Anolis sagrei: one gene and its partner. The protein of the gene in region 1 interacts with the protein of each later gene in a pairwise test. Links are inferred from orthologs where the notes say so. Each region holds a gene or a part of one and is shown on either strand. Other genes may lie near its edges.

Region 1 (7,410 bases):
GGGTGAGAGAAAGAACTCTTGTCTGTTAGAGCTAGTGGGCTCATGTATTCAGTGTTGGGTGTGCTGAATATTTTTTCAGAGCACAATAAGAGGTTCTGGAGAGCAACATGTCAAAATGTCAGAGCTGGCCTTGAGAGTGGCAGAATTTATGGATTGAATTAACATTCCACATTGAACACTTGCTAAAATGACCGTCCAGTGTGCTATACATTGCAGGAAATTAAAGCTTTTTCTTCAATGATGAAAGCTGATCTTGCCTTCTGTAAACCATTTGGCAAGCTAATCTTTTGGGAAGGGCATCCTCCCAAATCTTTGGTCCAAAAGCAAGGTGTTGGCTGCTGGAGCTGATGAACAACTGCACTGCATTTTGTCAGATCCCCAAAATCTGGAGGAAAGCAAGAATCATCGCCATCTTGAAGCCAGGCAAAGACTGTAATGACCCAAAAAGCTACAGACCAATCTCCCTGTTGTGCCACTTCTACAGAGTTCTGGAGAGACTTATTTTGCATAGAATTAAGGAAAAAATAGACCCATGTCTGATCTCACAGCAAGCTGGCTTCAGAAAAGGCAAAAGCTGCACATCGCAAGTGTTGAACCTGACTCAGCACATAGAAGATGGCTTTGAAAGGCAGCAGATCACAGGAGCTGTCTTCATAGACCTGTCAGAACCCTATGATACTGTAAACCACCGCCTCCTCCTGAGAAAAATGCTACAAAACAGGAGCTTTTTTGTTGAGTTCCAGGGCCAGAGAAGCAGATGACGGAAACAGAAGAACGGCCTGCCTCAGGGGAGCGTGCTTGCTCCATCCATGTTCAACATCTACACAAATGACCAGCCACTGCCAGAAGGGACAGAGAGTTTCATCTATGCTGATGATCATGCCATTACTGCTCAAGCAGGGAGCTTTGAGATGGTAGAACAGAAGCTTTCCGAAGCTCTAAGTGCTCTTACTGCCTATTACAGGGAAAACCAGCTGATCCCCAACCCATCTAAAACACAGACATGTGCCTTTCATCTCAAAAACAGAGAAGCATCCTGAGCTCTGAAGATCACCTGGGAAGGAATCCCACTGGAGCATTGCAGCACATCCAGATACCTGGGAGTCACTCTGGACCGTGCTCTTACCAGCAAGAAGCACTGCCTGAACATCAAGCAAAAAGTGGGTGCTAGAAACAATATCATACGAAAGCTGACTGGCACAACCTGGGGATCACAACCAGATACAGTGAAGACATCTGCCCTTGCGCTGTGCTACTCCGCTGCTGAGTATGCATGCCCAGTGTGGAACACATCTCACCACACTAAAACAGTGGATGTGGCTCTTAATGAGACATGCCGCATTATCACGGGGTGTCTGCGCCCTACACCACTGGAGAAATTACACTGCTTAGCCGGTATTGCACCACCTGACATCCACCGGGAAATAGCAGCCAATAGTGAAAGGACCAAGGCAGAGACATCTCCAGCTCATCCCCTGTTTGGGTATCAGCCAGCACGTCAACAACTTAAATCTAGAAATAGTTTTCTAAGATCTACAGAGACACTCGCTGGAACACTTCAGCGAGCGAGAGTCCAAAAGTGGCAGGCTCAAACCCAGAACCTCAAGCAATGGCTGATACCAAATGAGAGACTCCCCCCTGGGCACACAGAGGACTGGGCGACTTGGAAGGTGCTGAACAGACTGCGCTCTGGCACCACAAGATGCAGAGCCAATCTTAAGAAATGGGGCTACAAAGTGGAATCCTCGACATGCGAGTGCGGAGAAGAGCAAACCACTGACCACCTGCTGCAATGCAACCTGAGCCCTGCCACATGCGCAATGGAGGACCTTCTTTCAGCAACACCAGAAGCACTCCAAGTGGCCAGATACTGGTCAAAGGACGTTTAATCAACTGCCAAACTTCACAAATTTTGTATTTTGTCTGTTTGTTTGCTTTGTTCTGTTAGAAATGTAATATAATTGACTGATTGCCCTGACACGACAAATAAATAAATAAACATTGTTCTAGTGGGCATGAACCATTGGATATCTGCAGCACTCATGAACGCACTTGTCCCTGGTTCTGTAAAGAGTTGGTGCCAAGTTAATATCTCTGGGGAACTTCTTCTAATAGTTGGGTGTCACAACCTAGAAGACCCTGTTTACAATACTCGAGATAGAAGAGGAATCTGCACAAGGAATTCCTCACTTTTCTAGAAAACACCTTCCCAAGATGGTTGGTAAGCTTTGTGAATACAAAGGAATGTTCCTAGGGAGAAAAGTATCTGAGATAATAAGAGACGAGACACTTTTCTCTGCCTGTATCTGCCATCATCATCTCCATGGCAATTGTTTTCCCCCGTCACTGCTATTAATCCTGCAGAGACTCCATGGCAAAAATGTATTGGGTGAGCAGCATACTGGTACAGGAAATGTTCAGAAATCCAATAACCATGGGTGTTTTTCATAAGGATGCACATAGTTTTAAGCTTATTCAAATAAACGATGAGGTTTGTCATTGAGCCAAGGGGACAGAGGTATAAGTAGCAGAGGCCTTAAAGCACTCCGTTTTTATTCGTAGTCTCCCATTTACGGAACAGAAGAGTAAATAGGAACTAATAACAAGAATAATACTAATAATTGTGTTAAACAATAATGATAACTTTCAAAAGCCTTTTCCCAGAGCACGCCAATGTAAATTCGCGGGAGGGGGAGATATCCTCAGCAAGAAGATGCTCACTGCTTAAGTTGATGTGTATTTGGAAGCCACTAGGAAACTAAAAAGGGGGGGGGGACATACTTATTATATTGACAAGTACCCAGAAATATATAGGATGAGTGGCGATACATGACTAGAGGGGAAGGGAAGAGAGGAGGCCCTCACCACCGCGCCACTCACCAACTTCTCTCTCCTCTCCCTTCCGCTGTTTTTAAATTTCGCCCTCAATCCCGCGCGAGACTTCCCAATCGTCGCGAGACTTCAAACTCCCCGGCACAATGAAGGCACGGCTTAAGCTTCAGGCAGCTTCTTATGCGCATGCGTGGATTGTGGCAGAGGCAGGGATATGAGGAAAAGGGACTTCGTAATTGGTAAAGCGAGTGAGCATGCTCTAAAAGAAAATTGACGCACATGACAGCGGTTTCCCGTCAAAGGGCACTGAGCATGCGCTGTAGCAGCCTTGGGCGTGGACGGTCAGTATGGCAAAGGGGTAATATGTGATCTGAAGTAACGAAGTGCAAGCTGAAGGCGGATGGCGCGTAACCAAAGTTCAGATAGAGGGTGCGTCTACCAATGAGTGCGAATACCTCACCAAACTACAATTCCCAGAATTCCATTGCCCTGAGCCAATTAGTTAAAGTGTTATCAAACTGCATTAATTCTACAGCGTAGAATGCACACATTGTAAGAATCCAAGCAAATGCAGTTAGAGAGCAAAACTAGAGTAACTGGGGCCTCGGAGAAAGTTCAGTTTTGTCGAAGGCTTTCATGGCCGGAATCACTGGGTTGTTGTGAGTTTTCCGGGCTGTATGGCCATGTTCCAGAAGCATTCTCTCCTGCCCTTTCGCCTACATCTATGGCAGGCGACCTCTGAGGATACCAGTCATAGATGCAGGCGAAACGTCAGGAGAACATGGCCATGCAGGCCAGAAAACGCACAAGTGCCTGCCATAGATGCAGGCGAAATGTCAGGAGAGAATGCTTCTGGCACATAGCATACAGCCTGGAAAACTCACAACAGCCCCCCAAAAAGAATGGAAGCCATTTTATCTCAATAATGACATGAATAATTATTTTTATTTACATACAAATTAAAGTAATTAATTAGAAGTAGGGTAGAAATTAAATGAACTTTGTCGGTAGTTTGGCTTCTGTTTAGCTTTGTGCAATAAATTATGACAGATGTGAAATTATCATTAATTATTGTTAAAGTTATGTAATGGATTGCATTAATTGAGAGGCGTTTAGTAATCTAGGGGACCATCTTCAAGTCATTAGGCAATTTTGTTTTGCAATTTTTGAGTTTCAAAAAGTCGTGGAAAAAAGTGGGAGGCAGTGCAGCACACCACAAAACTTCATTTATAATGTTAAAAATAGCAATAAGGATAATGCCTTGGTTGGAAAAAAAATGTGTGTTCTCTTTGATGGATCACCATATAGAGTGGAACCATTCACAGAATCCTAGAATCCTAGAGTTGGAAGAGACCTCTTGGGCCATCCAGTCCAACCCCCTGCCAAGAAGCAGGAATATTGCATTCAAAGCACCCCCGAGAGATGGCCATCCAGCCTCTGTTTAAAAGCCTCCAAATAAGGAGCCTCCTCCTTTTAAGAATGTTGCTTTTCTCTGTTTTGACTAGACTTGATTGAGAAGAGAAAGAGATTAGGTACTTGGGGCCGGTACTCCCATCAGTTTTAAAGGTTATGTTTCCCAAACTCCATTCCTGCTTATTATTAAAAATGGCTGTGCTTTACAGACAGGAGATAACAGGATAAGCATATAATTCCTTGCCTCTTACTCAAAAGAGTAATCACTTGATGGGGATCAGTTGACAAGACGCTTTTTATAAGTCCCTGCATGTCATTTTTATCTGTGCAGTTCTATCTAGTGTCATATATTACAGTCAGCCCTCCACATTTGCAGGTTTAATTATTTGCAGATTTGATAAATGTGTCCTCCCTACGAATCTCTAGAGGTGCAACTACACCAGGCCTGGGCAAACTTTGCCCCTCCAGGTGTTTTGGACTTTGACTCCCACAATTCCTAACAGCCTACCGGAGTTGAAGTCCAAAACACCTGGAGGGGCAAAGTTTGCCCAGTCCTGAAATACATTGTGGAATTAATACAGTTTGACCCCACTTTAATTGGTATGGTTCAGTGCTATAGACCTAAGCCCTCTAAGTGTTTTGAACTTCAATTCCTAACAGCCTACCGGAGTTGAAGTCCAAAACACCTGGAGGGCCAAAGTTTGCCCAGGCCTGAACTACACTGTAAAACTAATGCAGTTTGAACCCACCTTAATTGCTATGGTTCAGTGCTATAGAATCATGGGATTTGTTGTTTGGTGAGGCAGCACAATCTTTGGCAGGGAAGGCTAACAAACTTGTGAAACTACAACTCCCACAATTCCATAGCACATTTTCAAAAGTGTTTTAAATATATGTTTTACCCATTTTCATGGGGGTCTTGCACTCTTAACTCTAGTCTGTGCAAAGGGATGTCAGTATTTCCTATTCTACGTGCTTTCCAGAAATTTTGACATGAAGCACATACCACACACATAAACATAATTATATACTTTATCCCTTGCTCTTAATTATTATTCCCCCTTTTCTTCTTTTAACAGGCGGGTTATATGGATACTTTCTGGGTGAAATACATTAAGCTGATCTTTTTTTAAAAAAAACTTTATTTAAACATCTGGAGACTCCAACTCTTCTATCTACATTGGATTCACTGGACGTAACCTCTTATTTCTGCTTCTAGTGTGTATGGAGGATCTAGCGATTGACCTATTTTCTTACTCAAAATTAAAAATTTTAGGGGAGCCAAATAATCACACAATGTATAGGCACATAAAAATATAACTAATATGTTTGTCAAGGCCCCTTCTACACTGCCAAATAATCCAGATTATCAAAGCAGATCATCCAAATTATCTGTTTTGAACTGGATTATTTGAGCCTTCACTGCCATATAATTCAGTTTAAAGCAGATAATTTGGATGTTATATGGCAGTGCAGAAGGGACTAGAGGCTAGTGGACTTCCCTTCTTTGAAGGGGTTCAGACGGGGTGTGGATGGCCATTTCTTAGGGCCCTTCCAGTCAGGCCCTATATCCCAGGATCCGATCCCAGGTTTTCTGCTTTAACCTGAATTATATGATCCCCTACTGCCAGATAATCTGGGATAAACAGAAAACCTGGGTTCAGATCCTGAGATATAGGGCCTGACTGGAAGGGCCTTTGGGCGTGCTTTACTTATTTACCTAGATGGCCCTGCTATACAGGAATATTTGATTGTTTCATCTGTACAGAGAAAGAGTCCTACAGTTGCTTCTTCCCACCAAGAAGCCATTCTAAGAGAGCTTCTTAATCTCTGGTCCCTTCTACACTGCCATATAATCCTGATTATCAAATGAAGTAATTCATATTATCTGCTTTGAACTGAATTATATGAGTCTACATTACCATATAATCCAGTTCAAATCTGGATTTTATATGGCAGTGTAGAAGGAGCCTCAGAAACCCATTTAGGAGCAAGGGAACTGCAAAATTGTGGCCACCATAATACCCCCCCCCCCCCACATCAACCTTGTGAACAGCAGATTTTGGGGATCTTTGTGTCTTATTGAGGTTTTAAATGTCAAAAAAGTTTCTGCACAAGTCCCCCACTGGCACTTTGTCTTTCATGGTGATCACTGGCCAACAAATCCTGTTATCCAGATTACATCTAAAAAATAAAACATGAAACTATACATAGTTCTACATCTATATAAAATTTCAGTTAGTGGAAGCATAATTAGAAGTTAGCCGCTGTTAGTAGCTATAATATCCTATACAATGCTCAGAAATGTTGAGTAATGTCGAAGGCTTTCATAGCTGAAATCACTGGGTGGTTGTAGGGGTTTTTTTGGCCTATATGGCCATGTTCTAGAGGCATTCTCTCCTGACGTTTCAACTGCATCTATGGCAAGCATCCTCACAACCTCTGAGGATGCTTGCCATAGATGCAGGCGAAACATCAGGAGAGGATGCCTCTAGAACATGGCCATATAGCCCAAAAAACCCTACAACCACCCAATTTTGAGTAAAGTTCAGCAGACTCCTCTACAGCAATTAGTAATTTCTATTTTGTGCCAAAAACATTAGACCCCAGTGATCTGGAACTTTGGCTCTGTTTCTTGAGCTCCACTATTACGTACTTGTGATTTGCTATCTCTAGAAAACTAAACTAGAGATTGTGGCGCAGCTGGCTGAGTGTCAGCTGCATTAAGATCATTCTGACCAAAAGGTCATCAGTTCGAAGCCAGCCCGGGTTGGAGTGGGTTTCCAACCATTGTGTAGCCCATTGTCGACCTTTACAACCCGAAAGACAGTTGCATCTGTCAAGTAGGAAAATAAGGTACCACCTTAAAAATGTGGGGAGGCTAAAATTAGCTAATTTATGAGGCTATAAAGAAGCACTCCAGCGGGGAAGCATGCGAGGAATACGGAGGTACTTCATCAGCGTCGCAGATGGGCGATGAAAGTGACAGCTCCTCTGGCGGCCAGAAAAAGTTAAATAGCCTCTGTGTATGTCTGTATATGTTTGTATGTCAAAATTGGCATTGAATGTTTGCCATATATGTGTACACTGTAATCCGCCCTGAGTCCCCTGCGGGGTGAGAAGGGCGGAATATAAAAGCTGTAAATAAATAAATAATAAACTAAA
Region 2 (7,512 bases), on another chromosome or scaffold:
ACTCAAAAAAACATAACAACTGTTGCAGTAGGGCAACCATTTACCAGGATTCCATGAGATCCGTGGAGAAGGAAGAAGACAGAGACAGCTTAGCAAGTTTCCAGTATTTATTCTTACCCGGGTAAGGGTGCTCAGTTTCCCCAAAATGGCTGATGAAGCACAAAGCTCTGTCCAAGTTAGCCCAGTATTTATAGATAGAATTACCAGTTTGCACATGCGTATACCAACTCTGCCACGTACACAATACATAATCATTAACAGAATTCTTATATAAGAACACTTTTGGCAAATCATCACGACCCCAAATATTTTTCTTTCCATCAACCTTTAGCCTTATCCCCAGATGACATGTTCCTAATTTTCTTAGATCTTAAAATGAATCATAACTTCATATATATATATATATGTTTTTAACATAAAACTTATTCAAAGTAATTTCCTTATTAATTCTTCGGTAATTATTTTCATAATATCTTGTTTTTCCTGGAATTGGTCATTTTATAGAATGTGTCTGAAATTACCTGCTATTTACATCAAATAGACAGGAGATGGCGCTCTCTTACTATATGACCTTAGATGTTCCAGTCTTGGATCAATAATATCGATCTGGCCTTCTATGTTTAGCCTAAAGTCAACCTTCGGCTTCCTCAAATATTTGTTTATGGAACAAGCCACCCCGACCTCTTATTGATTCATACCGTCTGCTGATTTTCCCTTACTCTAAAAATCTCTTTTTAATCGCCAGAATTAAGGTAGGACCTTCTGTTTCTTAAATTCATTTAAATTATAATTATTTTCTCCCTAATGACTGCCACACAACAAACTCACAATTACACAACCAAACGGAGCATGCGCAGAGGAGTCCCGGCGCGAGTCGCCCGGTGCGCGCACATGGCCGCACCACGCCCCCTCCGTGCAAGCCATGCTTCCTCCCATCACTGCCCTGCCCCTTCCCCCATGCCAAACCGAGCGCGGCCTAGGCACCGACGCTGAAGCCCCAGCCTGGGAGTGGGAGCTCGCCCGCCTGTGCACGCTGGGGGCCGGCCTGGTGCACGTGCGGCACGGGGGGCTGTCCACCTTCCACGGGCCCGGACAGCTGGTGGCCTTCCCGAGGCGGGACCAGTGGAGGCTGACCGGGAGGCCCCCGCTGCGCACCTTCGTGGCCCTCCTGGGAGAGGCCGCGACCCGCCTCTCCCAAGGACAGCCCTTCGGCCTCCGCCACACCCGGCCCAGGCCGCCACCGGACACCGGCGTCTGGCTCCAGGGAAGGAAGGAAGGACGCCGCCATCGGGCACGATGAGGAACAGGAAGGAGGGAAGGAAGCGGGTGAGGGAAGGATGGACGGAAATGAGGGGAAGGGGTGTAAATAGGAAGGAAGGGAGGAAGGGAGGAAAGAAAAAAGAAGAAAAGTGGGAAGGGGAAGGGAAGGTGTAGGAAGGAAGGAAGGAAGAAAAGAAGGAAAGAAAGAAGAAAAGTGGGAAGGGAAGGTGTAGGAAGGAAGGAAGGGATATCAGAGAAGAAAGGTAGGAAATAAACAAACGGAGGGAAGGGGAAGGGAAGGTGTAGGAAGGAAGGAAAGAAGAAAAGAAGGAAAGAAAGAAGAAAAGTGGGAAGGGGAAGGGAAGGTGTAGGTAGGAAGGAAGGAAGGAAGGAAGACAGGGATATCAGAGAAGAAAGGTAGGAAATAAACAAAAGGAGGGAAGGGGAAGGGAAGGTGTATGAAAAAAAGGAAGGAAGGAGAAGTTGAGAAAGTATATGAGGGAAGAAAGGTAGGAAAGAAAGAAGGAAGAGAGAGTAGGAGCATGGGAAAGGAGGGAGGAAGGAAGGAAGGAAGAAGAAAGGTGTGGAAGGGAAGGTGTAGGAACGAAAGGAAGGAAGGAAAAAAGGACAGAAGAAAAGGGAAGGGAGGAAAGAAAGCAAATGAAGAAGAGAAAGGGAGGGAAGGAAGGAAAGAAAAGGAAGTATGGAACTACAGAACGAAGGAAGGAAGGAAAAAGAAAGAGGGAGGAAAGGAGACAGAGGAAGGAAAAGAAAAAGGGAGGAGGAAGGAAAGAGGTACAGAAGGAAGGAGGAGAGAAGGAAAGAAAAAAAGGGAAGGGAGGAAAGACGCAGCAAAGGAAAAAGAGAAAGAAGGAGAAGGAAGGATGAAAGCAAACAGCTAAGGAAGGAAGTAAACAGGTAGAGAAGGAAGAAAGGAAAGAAGAACAGGAAGGAGTGAAAGAGGCAGAGAAAGAGGGAGAGAAGCCTGGCCACAGCAACGCATGGCGGGTAAAGCTAGTCTATCTATCTATCTATAAAATGCTCTGTGCATAATGAGTACCTTAAAAACCAAAGAACCGATGAACAAAATCACACCAAATTTGGTAACAGAACGTCTCACAACACAAGGAGTGACCATCACTCAAAAATTATGATTTTGTCATTTGGGAGTTGTCGTTGCTGGGATTTATAGTTCACCTACAATCAAAGAGCATTCTGAACTCCATCAACGATGGAATTGAACTAAACTTGGCACACAGGACTCCCGTGACCCAACAGAAAATACTAGCAGCATTTGGTGGGCATTGACCTTGTGTTTGGGAGTTATAGTTCACCTACATGCAGAGAGCACTGTGGACTCAAACAATAATGGATCTGGACCAAACTTGCCACAAATATTCCATATGCCCAAATATGAACACAGATGGAGTTTGGGGAAAATAGACCTTGACATTTGGGAGTCGTAGTTACTGGGATTTATAGTTCATCTACAATCAAAGAGCATTCTGAACCCCACCAATGATGGAACTGAACCAAACTTGGCACACAGTTCTCCCATGACCAACAGAAAATAGTGGAAGGGTTTGGTGGGCAGTGTCCTTTGGTTTTGGATTTGTAGTTCACCTGCGTCCAGAGATCACTGTGCACTCAAACAGTGATGGATCTGGACCAAACTTGGCAACAAATCTTCCAGTATGAACACAATTGGAGTTTGGGGAAAATAGAATCTTGACATTTGGGAGTTGCAGTTGCTGGCATTTATAGTTCACCTACAATCACAGAGCATTCTGATTTCCAGCGATGATGGAACTGAACCAAATTTATTTATTTTTATTTATTTATTTACTGCACTTGTAGACCACCGTTCTCAGCCCTAGGGTGACTCACGGCGGTGTACAACATGTAAAAACAGGTACAATTTACAACACAAGCAATATCACAACAACATTAAACAACATCACTATCAATACTACAATTACACTAAATCATTCGCGACGTCTCATTGTTGAATCACAATCCAAATCTCGTTATCCATGTTCCATTCCAATCGTCATTGCCAGTTATTGCAGCACTTACTCAAACGCCTTCTCAAACAACCACGTCTTTAGTCTCTTGCGGAATGTCATAAGGGAGGGCGCCCGTCTGATGTCTACAGGGAGGGCGTTCCACAGCCGGGGGGCCACCACCGAGAAGGCCCTGTCCCTCGTCCCCGCCAGGCGTGCCTGTGAGGCAGGCGGGATCGAGAGAAGGGCCTCCCCGGACGATCTCAAAGTCCTTGTGGGCTCATAGGCCGAGATGCGGTCAGACAGGTATTTTGGGCCGGAACCGTTTAGGGCTTTGTAGGCCAACACCAGCACCTTGAATTGGGCCCGGTAGCAGATCGGCAGCCAATGGAGCTGGAATAACAAGGGCGTTGTGTGCTCCCTGTGTCCCGCTCCTGTTAGTAACATGGCTGCCGCGCGCTGGACTAGCTGGAGCTTCCGGGCCGTCTTCAAGGGCAGCCCCATGTAGAGAGCGTTGCAGTAGTCAAGGCGGAATGTGACCAGAGCGTGTACCACCGTGGCCAAGTCAGACTTCCCGAGGTACGGGCGCAGCTGGCGCACGAGCCTAAGCTGTGCAAATGCTCCCCTGGTCACCGCTGACACCTGGGGATCCAGGCTCAACGATGAATCCAAACTTGGCACACAGTTCTCTCATGACCAACAGAAAATACTGGAAGGGTTTGGTGAACATTGACCTTGAGTTTGGGAGTTGTAGTTCACCTACATCCAGAGAGCAGATCCAGTGATGGATCTGGACACAAACAATGATGGATCTGGACCAAACTCCACACGAATACTCAATATGCCCAAATGTGAACACTGGTGGAGTTTGGGGAAAACAGAATCTTGACATTTGGGAGTTGTAGTTGCTGGGATTTATAGTTCACCTACAACCACAGAGCATTCTGAAGCCCACCAATGATAGAATTGGGCCAAACCTCCCACACAGAACCCCCATGTGGGCCATAGCAACACGTGGCAGGGGACGGCTAGAAATAATATGATAAAGTCTCTTCTGAAGGCATCTGGTTGAGAAGAAGCAGAAGCAACTGCAACGGGCAGGGTTAGAGGCCTCCCTGCCGAGTGGCAGGCTGGGAGTCGTAGTCTTTTTGGGGATCCTTGGCGCTTGTATTCAGAAGCACCAAACTCTGCAGAAAGACTACGACTCCCAGCCTGCCACGCGGCAGGGAGGCCTCTAACCCGGCGTGGCAAGCGCGCGCCGCCTCCTAGAAACCGTTGCCGAGCAACCGCTGGGCCCTTAGCAACGTGGCCGTTTAGAAGGCCTTCCTCGATTGAGAAGCCATGCCGGTTTGGGTGCGCGATTACAGCTGGGAGCAGACGGAGGAAGCGGTGTATTTGAGGGTCCAGGTGCGGAAGGAAGGCCGCCTCCGAGGCTCCGACGTCTTCTGCTCCGGACAGTGCCTGAAGGTCAGGGACAAGGCCAGGAAATACAGAATTGTACATAAATAATCATTAAAAATACAAATGAATCTTAAATCTTAATAATAAATATATAAATAATAGTAAATAGTAATAATAGTAAATTACTGATGTTATAAATAAGAATGAATAACAAATAATAGTAAAATGTAAATCATAACTATAACAACACATAATAAATATTTATTATTAATCGTTTATTATTAAGATTTAAGATTTATTTTTATTAATTATGATTTAGTATTTTTATTATTTGTTATTATAGTTATTCATTCTTATTTATATTTGTTTATAATTATTTTTATTAATTATTATTTACTATTTTTATAAATATAAATAAGAATGAATAACTATAATAACAAATAATAAAAATACTAAATCATAATTAATAAAAATAAATCTTAAATCTTAATAATAAATGATTAATAATAAATATAAATAATATTTATTATGTGTTATTATAGTTATGATTTACTATTTACTATTATTTGTTATTCATTATTATTTATAATAACAGTAATTTACTATTATTATTTATTATTCTTTACTATTATTTATATTATTAAGATTTAAGATTTATTATTATTAATTATTAAGTATTTTATTATTTGTTATTTGCTATTTACTATTATTATTTGTTATTAATTATTATTTATAATAACAGTAATTTACTATTATTATTTATTATTAATAAATAATAGTAAATAATAGTAAATAATAAGTTTGGTCGTGTCAGGAGCGACTTGAGAAACTGCAAGTCGCTTCTGGTGTGAGAGAATTGGCCGTCTGCAAGGACGTTGCCCAGGGGACATTGCCCGGATGATTTGATATTTTTATCATCCTTGTGGGAGGCTTCTCTGATGTCCCTGCATGAGGAGCTGGAGCTGATAGAGGGAGCTCATCTGCCTCTCCCGGGATTCGAATCTGCGACCTGTCAGTCTTCAGTCCTGCCGGCACAGGGGTTTAACCCACTGCGCCACTGGAGGCTCCATAATAATAAGTAATAATAATAGTAAATTACTGTTATTATAAATAATAATGAATAACAAATAATAATTAATAGTAAATAATAACTGTAATAACAAATAATAAAAATAGTAAATCATAATTAATAATGATAAATCTTAAATCTTAATAATAAATGATAAATGATAAATATAAATAATAGTAAATAAATAATAATAATAGTAAATTACTGTTATTATAAATAATAATGAATAACAAATAATAAAAAATAGTAAATAGTAAATCATAACTATAATAACAAATAATAAAAAATAGTAAATAATAATAATAAATCTTAATAAATGATAAATAATAAATATAAATAATAGTAAATAATAAATAAAAATAATAGTAAATTACTGTTATTATAAATAATAATGAATAACAAATAATAATTAATAGTAAATCATAACCATAACTATAACAACAAATAATAAAAATGCTAAATAATTAATAATAATAAATCTTAAATCTTAATAATAACTGGAACTAGTAAGTATAAATAATAGTAAATAAATAATAATAGTAAATTACTGTTATTATCAATAATAATGAATAACAAATAATAATAAATAGTAAATCATAACTATAATAACAAATAATAAAAATACTAAATAATAATTAATAATAATAAATCTTAAATCTGAATAAGAAATGATAAATAATAAATATAAATAATAGTAAATAATAATAAATAACAAAAATAATAGCAAATTACTGTTATTATCAATAATAATGAATAACAAGTAATAATAAATAGTAAATCATAAATCATAACTATAATAACAAATAATAAAAATAGTAAATAATAATTAACAATAATAAGTAAAATTAATTAATTAATTCAGATTCGCTGGAGCGCAGAGGCGGCAGGAGCCTTCTGATTGGCTCTGGCGCACTGCAGAAGCACTGTGATAGGTCCAGACGCGCGGGGGACGGCCAAGCTTCCTCCCAGCTGTTTGCGCACCAGCCAATCATCTTCGAGCCAGGCGGGAAGCGGGAGATTTGAAACTCACAACTCTGTATTTTCTATAAAAATGGCTCTAGGTGAGCTCTCCTCTGCCTCTATGGGGAGGAAGGTGGGATAGAAATAAAGTCAATAAATAGTATAATATAATGATGAGGATGATGATGATGGATGTCTCCCCAGGTGAGCTCCCCTCCGTTCCTCTTCGAGGTCCTTCTCTGGGCTCCCATCGATGATGTGCGAAGCACCGCCAGGGTGGAGGAGGGCTGCGTCTCCTTCACTCTCTACAAACAGGAGCCCTGCCTTTGGGAGTCCCTTTTCATGGAGGGAGGTGAGATCCTGAGCCTTTCATTTCATTTATGCATTTGGCCCTAAAGGGCGTTCCAGAGATAGGGGGCCACCACTGAGAAGGCCCTCTCTCTCGTCCCCACCAACCGCACTTGAGACGGTAATGGGACCGAGAGGAGGGCCTCCCCGGAAGATCTTACAGCTCGTGCCAGTTCATAGAAGGAGATGCGATTGCGGAGATAGGCGGGGCTCGAACCTTTTCGGGCTTTATAGGTCATGACCTGCACCTTGAATTTGGCTCAGCAACTTATCGGCAGCCAATAAAGCTGTTTTAATAGGGGTGTTGTATGATCCCTATAGTTCAGCTGCCCCCTGTTGCAGCAGTTCAAACTTCCAGGCCATCTTCAAGGGCAGCCCCACGTAGAGTGCATTGCAGTAGTCCAGTTTGGATGTAACCAAGGCGTGGACCACCCTGGTCAAGTCAGACTTCACGAGGTATGGTCGCAGCTG

Evidence for each region. The genes of interacting proteins can lie anywhere in the genome.
Region 2: the proteins of SPDL1 (region 1) and DNAAF4 interact in binary tests that used the Homo sapiens proteins (3 or more experiments, as listed by UniProt). The two-hybrid records come from large-scale screens. The link is inferred for Anolis sagrei from reciprocal best matches to the Homo sapiens genes SPDL1 and DNAAF4.

Annotation. Positions count from the first base shown.
Region 1 is NC_090022.1:104,866,044-104,873,453, forward strand, and holds the start of SPDL1 (protein Spindly), read right to left. Parts: upstream 3,006-7,410; 5' UTR 2,881-3,005; intron 1-2,880. UniProt on the Homo sapiens protein: Required for the localization of dynein and dynactin to the mitotic kintochore.
Region 2 is NC_090029.1:1,583,347-1,590,858, forward strand, and holds the start of DNAAF4 (dynein axonemal assembly factor 4), read left to right. Parts: upstream 1-4,498; 5' UTR 4,499-4,604; coding exon 4,605-4,730; intron 4,731-6,897; coding exon 6,898-7,045; intron 7,046-7,512.